4 linked regions of the Arabidopsis thaliana genome follow. The protein of the gene in region 2 interacts with the protein of the main gene of each other region in a pairwise test. Each region holds a gene or a part of one and is shown on either strand. Other genes may lie near its edges.

Evidence for each region.
Region 1: the proteins of SUT4 (region 2) and CB5-A interact in a two-hybrid assay, tested with the Arabidopsis thaliana proteins (one study listed by BioGRID).
Region 3: the proteins of SUT4 (region 2) and CB5-D interact in a two-hybrid assay, tested with the Arabidopsis thaliana proteins (one study listed by BioGRID).
Region 4: the proteins of SUT4 (region 2) and CB5-C interact in a two-hybrid assay, tested with the Arabidopsis thaliana proteins (one study listed by BioGRID).

Annotation. Positions count from the first base shown.
Region 1 is NC_003070.9:9,112,187-9,115,490, reverse strand, and holds CB5-A (cytochrome B5), read right to left. Parts: upstream 1,628-3,304; 5' UTR 1,500-1,627; coding exon 1,413-1,499; intron 1,157-1,412; coding exon 1,090-1,156; intron 990-1,089; coding exon 736-989; 3' UTR 514-735; downstream 1-513. Other genes in the region: AT1G26330 (DNA binding protein), read right to left, coding at 1,971-2,068, 2,160-2,275, 2,449-2,793, 2,977-3,105, 3,225-3,304.
Region 2 is NC_003070.9:3,242,216-3,247,718, reverse strand, and holds SUT4 (sucrose transporter 4), read right to left. Parts: upstream 3,734-5,503; 5' UTR 3,462-3,733; coding exon 2,924-3,461; intron 2,561-2,923; coding exon 1,833-2,560; intron 1,697-1,832; coding exon 1,633-1,696; intron 1,505-1,632; coding exon 1,461-1,504; intron 1,160-1,460; coding exon 1,001-1,159; 3' UTR 978-1,000; intron 892-977; 3' UTR 503-891; downstream 1-502. UniProt on the Arabidopsis thaliana protein: Responsible for the transport of sucrose into the cell, with the concomitant uptake of protons (symport system). Can also transport maltose at a lesser rate. May also transport biotin.
Region 3 is NC_003076.8:19,788,514-19,792,045, forward strand, and holds CB5-D (cytochrome B5), read right to left. Parts: upstream 1,860-3,532; 5' UTR 1,668-1,859; coding exon 1,581-1,667; exon of another isoform or gene 1,146-1,580; coding exon 1,079-1,145; intron 1,005-1,078; coding exon 736-1,004; 3' UTR 554-735; downstream 1-553. Other genes in the region: AT5G48800 (Phototropic-responsive NPH3 family protein), read left to right, coding at 1-490. UniProt on the Arabidopsis thaliana protein: Membrane bound hemoprotein which function as an electron carrier for several membrane bound oxygenases, including fatty acid desaturases.
Region 4 is NC_003071.7:19,149,451-19,153,239, forward strand, and holds CB5-C (cytochrome B5), read left to right. Parts: upstream 1-2,030; 5' UTR 2,031-2,356; coding exon 2,357-2,434; intron 2,435-2,538; coding exon 2,539-2,605; intron 2,606-2,690; coding exon 2,691-2,944; 3' UTR 2,945-3,289; downstream 3,290-3,789. Other genes in the region: AT2G46640 (NAD-dependent protein deacetylase HST1-like protein), read left to right, coding at 1-59, 497-826, 1,070-1,231. UniProt on the Arabidopsis thaliana protein: Membrane bound hemoprotein which function as an electron carrier for several membrane bound oxygenases, including fatty acid desaturases.

The sequences.
Region 1 (3,304 bases), 5.9 Mb from region 2:
CTGACGCAGACCATAATACCACCAGCATTATCATCAACAGAAGCCAGAACCAACAAGATCTAACCTGCAGGATTCCCTTTTTGGTACTGGCTGGTCTTATAGACCGTGGACAATTTCAATTCAGAAGCAATTAGCGATACATCAGGTCCTATAATTGCATGAACTTGAGAGGAGATCTCATGTACCAATACAAAGCAAAGAAATTCTACAAAGAAGTGGCTTTCTCAACTGGAACCTAGAGATAGAGCTACCAACTTTCAGGAATTGGGATTTCCAATCCTAACTAATATATTCTCATCGCTATATGATCATAGATCCACCAGTGTCTCATACTCTCTCAGTTACATATACTAAAAGGACAAGCAAGGAAGATATTTTGGTACATGTTTTTGGTCTTTCTGAATCAAATCGACAGATACTACATAATATCAATGCTATATAGATAACGTCGGCTTTGCGAGGTTATCTGCTACCAAAAGGGACGATATGCAAAGACTTCTTCTAATAAAAAGATTGATACCAGCAAACCAAACCATCCATTAATCATATATAATCATATCGATAATAAGTGTATTGAAACATGATCTCAACTCAAAATCTGATAAAAATGAAAAATAACAATTATCTCTCTATCATATCTGTTATTCAAAAAATCTATAATGGGGGTGTAAAGTTGATTCCCCAAGTAATTCAATATCCCAGAGCATATCAAGGTAAGAAAGAGACTACTACTTATTAAGTCTTGCGAGAGAACAAGACACTAACCGCTACAGAGATGGTGATAATGGAGACAGGAACAACCCAATACTGCTTTGTCAAGTCAAAAAGCTTCTGAACAGAGTCTTGTGGCTGGTCCTTCTTGTAGATCTTAAGCTCAGGTATTTCCGGTAAAGAAGATTCATCTAGCTCGCCAATAAAATACTTCTCCATAAGTTCCCTAGCATCTTTGCTGTGCCCTGCGTCTTCAAAATCATCCGTTGCATCTTTGCCTTCAACAACAACATCATCACATTTACTTGGATTAGAGTAGAGACAACAACAGATCAGTCATTTAGCAAGGATGGGCAAGAGGAAGAAGAAGAAGCTTACCTGCGACAGCAAGAAGCACATCATCTCCTCCAGGATGCTCATCCATATAAGAGGATACATCATAGACCTGTAAAGAGAACGCATCAGCCATATCATTTTCTTGGGGACCAAGATTGTGAAGTCAACACATTATCAACAAAAAAAAAGAGGAAGAAGATTCTGATTAGCTCAATCTAACTACATATAAACAGCAATTACAAGATTCTTCATTAGATTCTATAGGCAACAAGACACAGATATGGTTTCTGAAAGCGAAGGAAACTTCAGGATTCACAAACACATGAACAAGGATTGAAATTAGAAGATTGAGAAAAAGAGTAGACCTTGCCGTCGATGACGACCCAGCAGTCATCTTGCTTGTTGTGAGTTGCGGCTTCTTCCATGGAATAAAGCTTTGTGAGTGTCGGCATCTTCTTCTGAAACTGAGTAGCGAGCGAAATAGCGAATGGTCTTTGATTTTTCTCTTTTTGGGGGTTTTAGGTTTGGTCGACCACGCGAAAAGATGAGCAGACTAGAGGAGAAAGATAATAAGAGCTAGAGCCCTCTCAGCAACGACGTCGTTTAATTTAATTATTTATAATTTCATATTCTTAATTCCTTTTTGGAAAATTAGCAAAAATGGAATAAAAAATTACTGAGAAATCAGAAATGCCTTGTAAGTTGTAGCAACGAATATACATAAAAGATTTATTTATCATCATTTATCATTTACATCTTCGTACAATTTTTTTTAACTAGATTAGAAAATTCTCAACTTGTAAGCCATATGGTAAAAGTTTACAAGCATAAAAACTTAGTTGACTTAAAAATGTAACCAAGCCAATTGAAGTCATTTTGGCAAAACATCTTTTTGTTGTTACCCTCCTTGATTGATTTTGAGTTTACTTTTCCGGATGGCAATAAACTAGGAGCTGACCATCTTCACTTGCTATGCATATATTTCTGGAATCATCAGTACTGATGCATGAAACTCTTTGACCTGACAAAATCCATGTAACAATATTAACTTTTGAGAATTGACTTCGTTATTTTCATGGATATATCTAGTTAAAACTTCAATCAGTGTATACCTTTGAAATCATGGAGAGAGCCGAGTTTAGTGCCAGTGGATAAGTCCCACATATACACAAGTCCATCAAGTGTGCCTGCTACTCCATGGCCAGATATTGTACCGGCAACATCAGCCCTGTAAACCACAAATCCATAGCCAATGAACCATGGATTTAGAAATGTTACCATTCATATACCATTTACTTCTCATATAATCCCCAAAGCAAAACTAATTTCTCGGAACATGGAGAAACCAGAGGAGCCTGAGAAAGACAGTATCCATGTAAAGAAAGAGATGTGTGATAATACCTCGGATCCAACTGACTTCCCAATATGAGTTGGTCTTTCACAAGGAGAGCAAGTCTCCAACATCTAACTGGACTTTCTACACGGTCACATTTAGCATCTGAGTCAAGATCAGTAGAGACTAAAAGCCAAATAGCAGTGTCTTTGACTTCAGCTGGAACCAATGTTTTGTTGTTGACCCCTTTTGAGAACCATAATTTTGTTGCAGCTAAAATCATGTCAACGTTATCCTCGATTGTAGAATGACTATGTACAGGGTGCCATGCAAACAAGCTCGTCGGAATGAACTCAAAGATCAAATTGCTGGGAGATACAAATCTTGATACTAGGCTTCGCTTCGAGATATCCCTAAATCGATAATAAACAAAGTTAGCAGGCCGAAACAATGGAGACAGGAAGAAAAAGATCAAGCAAAGTTGGCTGCTCCTCATCATTCCCTAGCACGGATAGTGTTCTGTAATTTAACAAAGAGATGGGCAGAGAAAAAAACTCTAAAGATAGAGGGAGAGAGAGAAAGAGGGAGCAAAATACCATATTGTAAATTCTCCTATACCATTATGCCCAATAACGAGATGAGGACATTTTGGTATCTTCTTCAGTTCCATGATGCATGATGATATGCAAGGATTTGCGAGTATAACATATTCTTCGGTAGGACCACTGCAAATTAAGGATACAAGAACATTAGCAAAAATTCCAATGATGATCCAATAGCTCCAAATAGAAGAAGGATCTGACAACTATTTTAAGAGAAGAGTAATGAACTCTGATGAGAGTACCTCCAATGCGAGTTCATGGCCCAGACAATAAGGTTTCCACTCTTAACAGCTGCAATGAGATTGTTAGGATCGCACACCAC
Region 2 (5,503 bases):
AGCTGTATTAGCATCTACTTATTTCTCTCAATTATTGATACGCTGCCTACAGAATCTCAATAGCATTACAGTAATTTCAATCTCAAACATCTCACTCAAGAAGAAAACTGGGATTTGCTACTATTCCTTCCTACTAGGCTTAGAGCACTTCCAATGGTTTATCTTAGGTGTATCTTAGAATAATATTTTAGAATTAAACTTTGAAAATTAAATCAAAATAAATTAAAAACTAAGATTTGCTTCTTAGCTAAGAAGTTTTCATGAGTGAAAAAAACAGTTACATGTCATGTTTCAAAATTTTAGTATAAATAATTGTTAAGATGTTTGGTTAAGAACCAATTACTTCTTAACCATTGGAGATGGTCTTAATATTCCCAAGAGTCATCCTAATCTATTGCTGACTATTGGTGGTTACTGCTACTATAGAGACTACTAGTACTCGTAATGGTTCCTTTCTACTTTTGCTACACAGATCATGTAAATTTTTTGGATCTCAGGTTTTCTTTATCAAACTAATTCTAAAGAAAATGAACTTTATAAACAGTTACAGAACTCAGGGGCCCTTACAAACACTCTGTTGTACACAGGTTTTTACATTAATTTACAACAACAACAAAAAAAACAGAGAAGATCCCGAACTGGAACTTCCAATAAAGGAGAGATGCATATACCTCACAAACTGAATGATGTATTATTTTCATTGGTTCTATGGTGCCTCGTGTATACAAGGATCATAGTCCCCAAAGTAGAGGGGATTAAGTCCTAGTAGCTGCAAATAAGTTAGTCACACGAGAAGCCATTGCACGAATTTTCGACAAGGATCACATTAAGTGTTCCATCTCCTTGCCATTTCCAAGCACTCCCCTTATGCGTTCCTCGCTTGACACTCATCTATTTCGCATTAGCCGCTTTTAATAATCAGTGACAACTTAAGTGCTTACTATGTACTTTTTGTGAAAGAATTGTGACATTATTACCTTATATAACAAAAGAGAGAATCTCATGGGAGAGGGATGGGCTTCTGAATCCTTGTCCGTGGAAGAGCCAAGATAGCTACAATTCCGCCAATGAAGCCTGTAGCTGCTCCTACTGCAAGTGCCGGTGAATTCCCACCTCCAAACAGTTGATCCCATGGGCCACTGCCAACAGACACAATTACCTGCAAACACATAAATGATTGAACAACAGAATTTGAGTTTGATGCCAAAAACCATAACCAACATAGGGAAGAAATTCATCAATCAACTAATATAGAGAAATAAAAAGTGTACTTTCATCACTGGCCAATGACCATAACTAAAAAAACGAATCGTTTATTAATGACAATTGACAAATAATGCAGTAACTCTGCTGCATGTTATGCTTATAGACTTCCTTTTACAGGCAGAAACATTCAAAGAAGAATATGATTTTGAGTTGCGGCAAATATAATGCTAAAAGGATGGTTGAAAGAAGTGTACCTGTGGGATGACTATCGCCAAATTTAGCACACCCAAAGATAAGCCTGCCACAACAGAACTTTTATAAGAAACAACACTCATATGTAGAGTAAAATCATTGAGCAGAACTTTTCTAAGAAACAACACAACAGAACTTTTATAAGAAACAACACCCAAAGATAAGCCTGCACACCTTGACCTAAGCCCAGGGATTCAATACGTATGGAAATCAACGCATATGGGACGCTGTAAGTTATCTGCAGAAGAGTAGCAATAGCATTAGTTACAGCGAAAGCGTAAATAAATTTCATCATGTTGTTACAGATGAGCAGGCAAAATATCATAAGTAATAGTGTAAGTAACATGACAGCAGAATTACAGGAGTAAACTTACCGCCAATGGAATGCCCAGAATTGTAAAGATTAACACAGCAGCAAACACGATGCTGGCAGGAGGTTGTTCATGGCCAATGTAGCCAAGGTGAGACGCAACAAATGAGGTGATTATCATTCCAAGAAAGCAAATAGCCATTAAGATATTTGATATTCCCCAAACAAAACCAGCCCCCCACTTTCTGCAAAGTTTCTCCATGAGCACAGAAGTGATTCCAAGAAAAACAGAATTCAACATCAAACCAAGTGCACCCATACTGACCCCAGCACTATATGAAGTCCCTATGTTCGGTTCACCGCCATAGATCTCTCGACCCATCCAATCAGTATCAAACAGAATAAATGGAAACCAACCAATCCATGTCAATGCTGTAACAAGCAAGATTATCCAAACATTTCCTGGAAAATATCTGAAAGTTCCAAATATCTCAGAAAGAAAAGCTTCGTCTGTTCCACTGGTTTGCCCATGTGCTTCAGAAGCCAATGAAGCAAGTGGCACCTCATGAGCCGCTGAGACGCTTAGGATCGTAGTTATTGCAATAAAGACAACATCTATGTAGAAGGCAGACTTGAGATTGGCACATTCCACATTACATGCAACTGTCTTCGTAAAAGTGAAGATCTTGTACCAACCATTGTATGATCCAGTAGCATAGCCAAGAACATTGCCAACAGCCATAAAGAGAGAGAAGTAGCCATTTGCAACTCGGGTTCTGCGATTATCATTCTCTGAAAATAAAGCAATAGGACAAGAATTAAAACACAACATATCTTTGTTTTCACTCCATGAGGTTATCACACAATCGTAGGCTACGATTAACTTCACCAAAATCCACAATTTGATTCAAGGGAAAGAGAAAAAACAAAGTCTCTGTGACTCAACGATAAGCCACCGACCAGAAACAAAGAAGGGACCTTTTGATTGTTAGGAACCAATTAGGTAATTATATAACCCCAAATTGTATCCAAAATCACAAATTTATGCATTTTCATGTTTTGCATGTGAGTGTATAATCACGAGAATCCCAAATTTACTACATTTGAATGATTTCAAATTGAAGACCCAATCAACACTAAAGTCAGGAACTTTACCAGTAAGATCAGCAAGGAGAGCTCTACAAGGACCTTGAGTCATATTATTAGCAACATCAAGAATCCAAAACCCTAAAACAAAAGCAACAATCGCCCTCGGCTTAATCTTCCCTTCTCTATCCCCAAATGCCCATCCAATATCCGCCGCATGACCAATAACCATAACAGAGATAGAAATCGCCACAGCTCCGGCGACAATAAACGGTCTCCGACGACCGTACTTACTAGTACACCTATCGCTACTATGCCCAACGAGCGGTTGCACGAACAAACCAGAGAGAGGACCGCAAAGCCAAATCACACTAGCCCAAGCGTGTGGGATCCCCAGCTCTTGAACGTAAGGTGTGAGGAGAGAAAGCTGAAGAGCCCATCCGAATTGAATCCCGCATGCGACGGAAGCTACACGGAGAAGCACACGCTTCGAAACTTTTGATCTAGGAGGAGATACAACGGGACGAGATGAAGAAGTAGAGGGTCGAGCTATTGGTGGACGGTTGCGAGTGACTCTGTGACGGCGATCTTGATCGGAAGTAGCCATTTCTCGCTTCACAGTCGTCGTGGCGTAGAGAGAGTGAAAAAGCTTAAAGTGGAGAGAAAAAGGTGGCGAAGAAGAAGATGTTGTAAGAATTCCATTGGACTAAAGGAATCTACTTTAGGAAAGTTGAGTGCTTTTTGTAAATTGTTTTAAATTTGTTGGGGAAATTGTGTAAATAATGAAAAGTGGGCACGTTAAAAGAGGGTATATAGTGTAAGGTTTGTTGTTTCTCTATGGATAAAATACATATTTTTGTTGAAACGAAATGATTTTGAGGGAGCATTCGTCATTTTCTGTTGGATCACGGGGCAAAAAGTAAGTTCCACTTACGTAAGCTGGAAGAAGAGACGTTGAGTATTCAATAACACTATCAATATGCAGTTTTGTGTTTGGAACAGAAAAAAATGTCATCTTTATTCAAAGAAAGAAGAGGGGGAAAAAAAAAAAAAAAAAAGAGAGAGAGAAAGAGTGTGCTTACGCAATTTTCAAATACATGTTCATCTACATAGACAATTTTCAAATATTCTCTTAATATGTAATTTGGTTGAGTCCGTTGTTTTAACTAATAAATTACTTAATATGGAAATTAGGTCGAAAGGATTGAGCGATCAAAATTGTTGAAATACGAAAATGACGTTATTGTTTGTTAATCAAGCTTGGGCCAATGTGAGCCGTACACGTGCTGCATGATTCAGGTTATACGGTTTAAACGTATAACACGATGGCGCCAATTTACCAAAACGTACTCTAAAATGGCATCTTTTTTATCTTTACTTATAGTCTTTTAGGCCTAATCATGTTTTAATTAGGGTAGGTGAACTGATTTTTATCTTTGTTTTTGCTCAATAGTTTAGTATGCACTTGATTGGGTTGGAATTCAGTTTTGTACCAACATTTCGTTCCCCTTTTTATGTAGTTGCTCACTCGAATCATGTTTAGGTTTATTATGGCGATATGAAATTGTAAGGTTTTGAATAATTGGACTATTTTTTGCGTTCAATTACTCACCGGGTCAAAATAAAGAAAAACGGATGATTCCACCATCATCTAAGGCAAAATGATTTTATTGCAAAAATAAGAAATTGAGAAATTCTCATTGCAAAAATGGCTTATAGAGAAACAAGAAAGGATGATGGCATGCAACTGAAGGCCCTATCCATTGAAGGAAACTCTTGTGGGCTGAACCAATAAGCTAAATAACCCAAATGAGGAAGAACAAAAACCTAAACATGAAGGCCCGTTTCTCCTTTTAATGATTTTATTCGTATAACCGCCTTAAAAAAAAGATTCAAATGAAAACAAAAATGTTTGATTAAAACTTAAAAGGCCGCAAAAGAAACACGGTTTGTGACGAAAACGTGGCCGCGTAAGCAACGAGTTGAAAAGTATCCGCGTCCGTGCGTTGCATAGCCAACTAATGCCCACCAGCTCCAAACATTTTCCAACTCTCTCTTTTTTTTTTTTTTTTTAGTTTTGCAAAACGTGTTTTCTCAGTTATTTGTCGTCACTTCTTTTCATCTAATTTTTTTGTCAAAAAAATTTGTTGCCTCTTTTATCTTTAAAGCTTGTATTGTTTTTTAATACGTACTTTATTTCTCATACGGTAGTTCTGAGAAAATGGTAAAACTGCCAAGCATTTGCAATTTTTGACGAGGAGGAATTTTAAGTAATAGAGAGAAAAATTCTATTCGTTAAATTCTTACAAGAAAAAAAAATCTTATAAGAAATTATATAATTATCTCATCAGGTTTTTAAATGAATTTGAACTCTCAATAAGGTTTACTCTAACGACTGATTTAAATGAACTTATAGTATCAACGTGCATATTCCAATTTTTTTTTTTTTGACATCTTTTCTTTTTTTGTCCGTTATTAGAGTGATGAAAGAATCTGTTGATTGAAATATGGTTGCTCGATCCCCAAGGTTGAAGTTAGAGAAAGATCTTTTCGAAGGAAGTATGAGACAACTACATGGAAAAGAAAAATCTTAAAATAATGTAGAAATTTTCTTAGTAAAGAAGAAAAGATGGCTCGCGGCATAACTGG
Region 3 (3,532 bases), on a different chromosome or scaffold from region 2:
CCAGAAACTCTCACAAGAAGCTGGAGCACACGCTGCACAAAACGAGCGGCTTCCTCTGCAATCCATAGTTCAAGTTCTCTACTTTGAGCAACTCAAGCTTCGAAGCTCCTTGTGCTCTTCTTACTCAGACGAAGAGCCAAAGCCAAAGCAGCAACAACAGCAGTCATGGAGAATCAATAGCGGAGCTCTCAGTGCAACAATGTCCCCCAAAGACAACTATGCGTCTCTGAGGAGAGAAAACCGAGAACTGAAGCTCGAGTTAGCTAGGTTGAGAATGAGACTCAACGACCTAGAGAAAGAACATATATGTATGAAGAGAGATATGCAGAGGTCTCATTCGCGCAAATTCATGAGCAGTTTCTCAAAGAAAATGGGGAAACTTAGCTTCTTTGGGCATAGCTCTTCAAGAGGATCAAGCTCTCCATCAAAGCAGTCTTTCAGAACAGATTCAAAGGTACTGATGGAGAGAACTTGCGCAAGCACAGATTAGCTCAGTGTTTATCATTTTCTCTTACCTGTTGCTGCTTTTTAAGTGAGACTTGAGACTGGTGTGTGAGTGATATTGTAAATGGATTTGATTGATATAAGACAACAAAGGTAGATGGCTTAAAAATCAAAGGTCTATCAGTTGATTGGAATAGAGAATATAATGATGTCTTACAAGACAAACAGAGGTAGAGACAGAGTTTAACCACGTCGTACACAAGCAATTCACTTAGGCCACAATTCAATCTTTCAAGAAGAAGGAGCCTTGGTCTTAGTGTAGTACCGAATGCCGAAAGCCAAGCCTAAGATTAGAAGTGGAACAAGGAACTGAAGGAGCTTAATAACAAAATCCGAGCTCTTATCCTGAGTAGCCACGGCTTTCGTCGACGTAGGAGGCACAAACTTAGCTTTAACCGGCACAGTAGCTGTGTCAATATCACCCACATAGTACTCATCTAGCATGGCTTTCGCAGTCGAACTATGTCCCACATCCTCGAAATCATCGGTCGCATCTTTCCCTGAATACCAACAACACATTCTTGTTAACATAAACATGAACTAACAAACAGAGAAAGTGATCTCTATATGTTACCTGTAGAAGTCAAGATAACCTCATCACCACCAGGATGATCATCCAAGAACTTTGTCACATCATAAACCTATATATAACCATCAAAATGAAACACACAAAAAATGTAAACTTTGTCATATAAGTCCCTAATTCCACACAATCAGAGACCTAGATTAAGTGGGTTATCAAAAGTTCATACATCAGAACATACATGAACTACATGAACCTTACTAGCTTTAACTACAGATACAAGATCACACAGAGACATCTTAAGCAGCACCAACTATCACATTCAATTATAAAGACGTAAGTTTTTAGCAATTTCTCTGTGATTTAGACTTAGAAAAGTAACATTAATCTAGCAAATCAGATCAGATCTATCCCCAAACTTGTTACTACATAACTCTAGATTTATAAATCCAAGTCAACACAACTCAAGAATTTCGGATCTCACGAAGATAAGATGCAAAATCTAAGGGAAAACGGAAAATCGAATGAGAAACTGGGATCGGAGATGTAGGACCTTGCCGTCGATGACGATCCAACAATCCTTGGCGCTACTGTGCTGAGAAACCTCGGACAAGGTGAAAACTTTTCCGTCTCCGCCCATCTCCGATGATCTGCTGGTGACTGGTGAGAGTTGAGAAGAGGAAGAGTATTACTATTATTTGGGAATCTGTGAGTTTGGGATCTTACACCAACCGCTTTTTTGGTCTACTTAAGTTGTGTATGTCTGATCTCATCTATTGATGGGGTCGGAAATTAATCAGTGGCCAATAATCAGCAGTTAATCAAAGATTCCGTTTTCTTATATTATTTAAATGAATTTATTTTATATATTTAATTAATGTAGAAACTAAAACAATTTATAATGTTACAAAGAAAAAATGTTATAAAAAATCTTAGTATTGTATGTTTTTCCTTAAAATAAAATAAATGTTTTTAGTAATTCATGTTAGCTGATAATGTTTCTACTAAAATCATGTTAGCTTATTGATTTCCATGATGCTTATAATGTTTATACTAAAATCATGTTAGCTTTATGTACATCAATTTAGATAAAATCCAAACGTTTGGTGGTTTCGCCCTCTTAGACGTATGATCAATCGTGTAGACGGCTAGATGTTAGGGTAGACCATTCTAATTGGGCCCAACCATTCACTCGGTCCACAAGATCCGGATCTTTTCTTCAGTTGTCGATAGTATTTAGTTTTTTCATGAACTATAGCAATATGGACACGATGATTCATGGGAGGAAAGATATGGGGTTGTCTTCTTTAAAACTTGATGGCGCTTAAGATAAAAACAGTCAAAGAGACTTGTCGGAAGGCCAGTGTAACGAAAGCAGTGTGGTTTTAGTTATAGGCTAAATTGAATATGAATAATTGATCATAGGCCCAGTTTGTTGGTTTATGATTTTAGAAAGAATTGATAAGAGAAGGAGAATGTTTTGAGGTTGGAACTCTCCGACAGATAAATATGATGGGAAGAATTATTCACGGTCGTATATTTTGACAAGGGACCAACGGAAAGGAGAGCAGTTGCATGCATCACTCGTCTTTACACTATTTAGAAAGAAAATGAATCTTGTTTAGTGATTCATTTTAAAAAGTTTTTCTATGTGAACCTCATTCGCTAGAAGTAGTTTAAATGTATTTGCCTTAATCCGATCTTAGAACTGGATATTTGATATTTCTGTAATCAGTTCGAATGTATCTAACTATAGGGCTAAAACACCGACTGTATAGTTCTTTCGACATATATAGAGTGTGTACTTTGCTTAATGGAACCATAGGCATGTTAAACGAGAGCATTTAATGTTGAAATTCACTTCTTTTTTCAATGCATGTTTTGACTCACATTGCAAGGCCTATGGTTGGTGTTCAACGAGAGAAAGAAACTATACATGACAAGTTAAAGACATTTATTTTGAAGGACTAACCCAAAAGGAGAACGAAAGAGAGCTAGAGAAGAAGAAACAAAAAGACAAAAAGGCTTTCGTAATCAGTGCTCTTCCTTTTTGGCTTTTTACTACCAAATAGTTTAAAAGAGTCAAACAAAACATCGAACAAGCTGAATTCAGATACCCCATTGGTCACACAGTTGATGTAAGCGAATCTATATGTCCCAAAAAACATGATTTTTATAGTCAGTGAGCCCGTGATCAAACAAGCACCCGTGTACATACGTACACCATGTCCATATGTATAAATGTATAATATAATGAATGTATCTGAACGTTTCATGCATTCACTTTTTCACTTTTAGAGATTAAAGAAAAACATAGAACAATGATTGGGTTCGAGATAAGATTTCACAGTTTCATCACACTGGTTTTGCCAATTTCCAAGAAATGTAAAAAAAAAGATAAAACAACAGAGATCTTCTCAATGAACACTGTCTCATCTTTTTGTCAGTTTCTTGTTAATAATAATTTGATATTCAAGATTCAAAACACTCTTATCTCTTTACTAA
Region 4 (3,789 bases), on a different chromosome or scaffold from region 2:
AGTCGGATCCTCTTATCTCCGTTGAAAATAAGTTTTATGATCATCATGAAGATGTCGGGGTACGTATTCTAATCAGTTCTATTGAGTACATTTTTATGATCCTCGGGTTGATTTACCAATAGAGAAGATTATATAGACATATGACATGCATATGCTTCAATTGTTCGTGTGCGTTTACGTTGATTTGATTAGTATATTCAAATGAATCCAAAATTTTAAAATCTTTAAACTAGTTTAATTGTTATTGTAGAAATAAGTTAACTAAAATGGAAGGATTATACGTTCACTAATCTACAAAAATTTGGGTTTTCTTTCAAAATATGACTTTAAAGACATATAAATGCAGAAATTGCATTTGAGTCAATCGAGATCGTCATTTTTTTTTCTGTCGACAATTAAGGCCATTATACGCAAAGAAATAAGTACATAAAATAAGTACATAAAATTATATCTTCTTGACTCTTGATATTGAATTTCTTGAGATCTTTCGTATTAGAATCTGTACGTACAGGCCGATACTGATCACTTTGGCTCGATCAAAACCGCTGAAACGCCAGCTGTCACGGCGGCAGCCGAGGCCGAGATAGAGCCACAGAAGAAGAGGACAACACTTGCGGAGCTTTTCATGGAGGACCACGACAAAGGTTATGACACGTGGCATTGCAAGAAACCCAATAACCCTAATCTTGACGGTGAGGAGGTTAAGTACTATAAACAAAACGGTTCAAAACTAAGCAAGAGGTTCTCGTTTGTTAAGAAGAAGCTGGTCATGTCAAAGTCCAAAGAGGAAGAAAACGACTTACGTCCAATCAAGAAAATGCGTCAGGTATTTAAATTTGTTTTAGTCAATTCCGTAACTATGAAACATTGATGATGATGGATATATGAACATGTTACATGTGCCTCTATAGCTCAAGGGAAACAATGTCACGTCAAGATCTAGATAATTATTCGTGCATGTTACAATTACATCACTTTTGTTGCTTCATAAGTGTACTCATATGTGAGTAAATATTCATTCGATGTCAACAAGTATAGCATCATTATATATGTGTATATATTACTGTAGATGATAAAGAGGATGTTGAAGAAGAAGATCCATCCAGATGTCGATGCAACTAAGGCTTTAAAGAAGGACGTTCCATACAAGCCAACTCGGAACTGTGAAGCTCTCGAGTCACATTATCTTCTTAAAATTCAAGGTTTGTATTTCTTAATTATTTTGGTTTAGGGGTTCGATATGATTTATTTCTTTCATTTGCTCGTATATATATGCTTTGTGGACAGATTGCGTGGCCTAGAAGTCTAAGAACGACGACATCGTACAAGAGCAATCTCTGGATCTATTGTTCTACTCCCTATAATATATGTGATTTTTTTGTTCTTATTTCAGAATGTGTTGGTATTGTTATGACTGTTGAGATGTATTGCTTTCTTCTTACAAACATTACTAAGTTGTTAGTATTTGTTCCTGTTATGCATATTGTATTTTATTACTATGTCATATGTTTTCTTATTTATACGTATATCAATGCATCGTTCTAAAATCGTGGATTGTCGTGAATCTGTGATAGTATTCCATCATGTCTGCTATAGCTTGGTCAGTTTTGAAGAAATTTCAAACCTAAAGTCATAAACTGATAAAGGACTAAATTATCCTACTCAAAACAGAAAGCCCTTTTGTGCGTTATTGGGCCTAATCAGAAAAGTGATTTTGAAAAAGGGCCTAATCAGAAAAGTGATTTTGAGGCTTTTTAAAAGTTTAAAGTAAACAAAAGAAAATTGAGGCTTGACTTTTCTTTCTTTTTTTGACTTGTTTTCTTTTTTCCTTTTTCTTATAAGAGAAAACTAAAACGTGAAAGAGCTTCACCAACCTGAGGTCGCTGACCACTTGGAGGCATTCTCAGCTACCAATCCATTAACTTACAAACTCCATATTCTTCACGTTTTACTATGGTAGGTACCTTTTTTTAACCTTGTTCGTAATAACAATTTTATACGAAAAGAATAGTATTAAACTTCAACAAAAACAACTATGTATATTAACTGGTCAGATATACATTGCTTTGTTCCCTTACATCTTCAAAGAGCTAAGATTAAACTATTTACCCCAAATAAGACTGTAATTTCATCAAAATCTAGTAATAATAATATTCAACAGCTTACAATATAAACATAACGCGTGTGGTCTCCATAAGCTACGCACTGTCTTTTCATCGGTTCGTAGAAACTAGAAACTCTTCCCCTCACGATCTTGCTTTCTTTATTTTGCTTCAACCCTAGTTTATTTGAAGTCTCTATATAAAGTTCTCTGTTTCAAGTTACTTTCTCAGCACGAGCAACCAAAAGTAATCATATGGCGAATCTAATTTCGTTTCACGATGTGGCTAAACATAAGTGCAAGAACGATTGTTGGATTCTCATCCATGGAAAGGTCCATATTTCTACTTTCTTTAAATCACGTAAACAAATTTATAGATTATAAATGCTCTGTTTTTTTAGCTTTATACTTGTTTCTAAACACATGTTTATCCACAGGTCTATGACATCAGCACTTTCATGGACGAACATCCCGGAGGTGACAATGTTCTCCTCGCCGTCACCGGTACGTACGAGTACGAGTTGGTTTATTCCGGTTTAGTTTGAATTTATCGGTTTGTAATTTTGTGAGTTTTTATGAAAATTTAAAGGGAAAGACGCGTCGATCGATTTCGAAGATGTGAACCATAGCAAAGATGCCAAGGAGCTAATGAAGAAATACTGTATCGGTGACGTTGACCAGTCAACGGTTCCGGTGACGCAACAGTATATTCCGCCGTGGGAGAAGGAATCTACGGCGGCGGAAACAACTAAAGAAGAATCTGGAAAGAAGCTGCTTATCTACTTAATTCCTCTCTTGATACTCGGCGTTGCTTTCGCTCTCAGATTCTACAACAACAAGTAGACCAAATTATGATGAACAGATTGATAAGAGTTTCTTACTGTTCTTGGTTTTCGTTTGTTGGTAATAACGGGCTTCTTATGTGAAGATTTGGGCCATTTGGCCCATCGCTCAGAATTGGACTATAATGTCTTATTTATTTTATGTTAATGGGCCGTATCAGTAGGCCCTTTGTTGATATATGCCAATCCCAATTTCTTCTAGCATGAGCTTTGTGTTATTTACTTGATTTTGATAAAACAACCAACTTATGCAGTAGATTCCATTTGACGAAAAAAAATAAAAATAAAAATGCAGTAGATTCCATTAAATTCGTACTTAATAATAAAAATGGGTGAGGGCATACTTACAAAGAAGGAATGTGTGTCAGTGTGTGTCAAAAATATGACACAGACACAGAATTATTTTTAGCAAAAACGTTCCACATAATTTCAACCTTTATACTGTCGGTTATTTTTTGCCACTTTAAAGACACAGAATTCAATGTGTCATAAAAAAGGACACAAAGAAATGAAGAATGTTGGTTTTTAATTTACTAATTCGAGAGGGGATTTATTAATCAAATTTCGAAATGTAATGTTAGTATTTCTATATTATATTACTAGAAGACGATTAAAAATATGAGAATATTTTTCTTAAGTAAAGTTTTTTTTTCTTTTTTAAACCGTGTAATGTTAATTGTTTGGTAAAACAAACCAAACATTCGTGTTTCTATGCAACTTATTAAACAAGTGATTGTTATTATATATAATAAAAAAAAACGTTTCCGGAGTGATAGTAGACTTGCAAAGATCGTTCACCAGAATCTTGGAAACTAAATTTTATAGTTTAATATCCTGTTGCGTTTT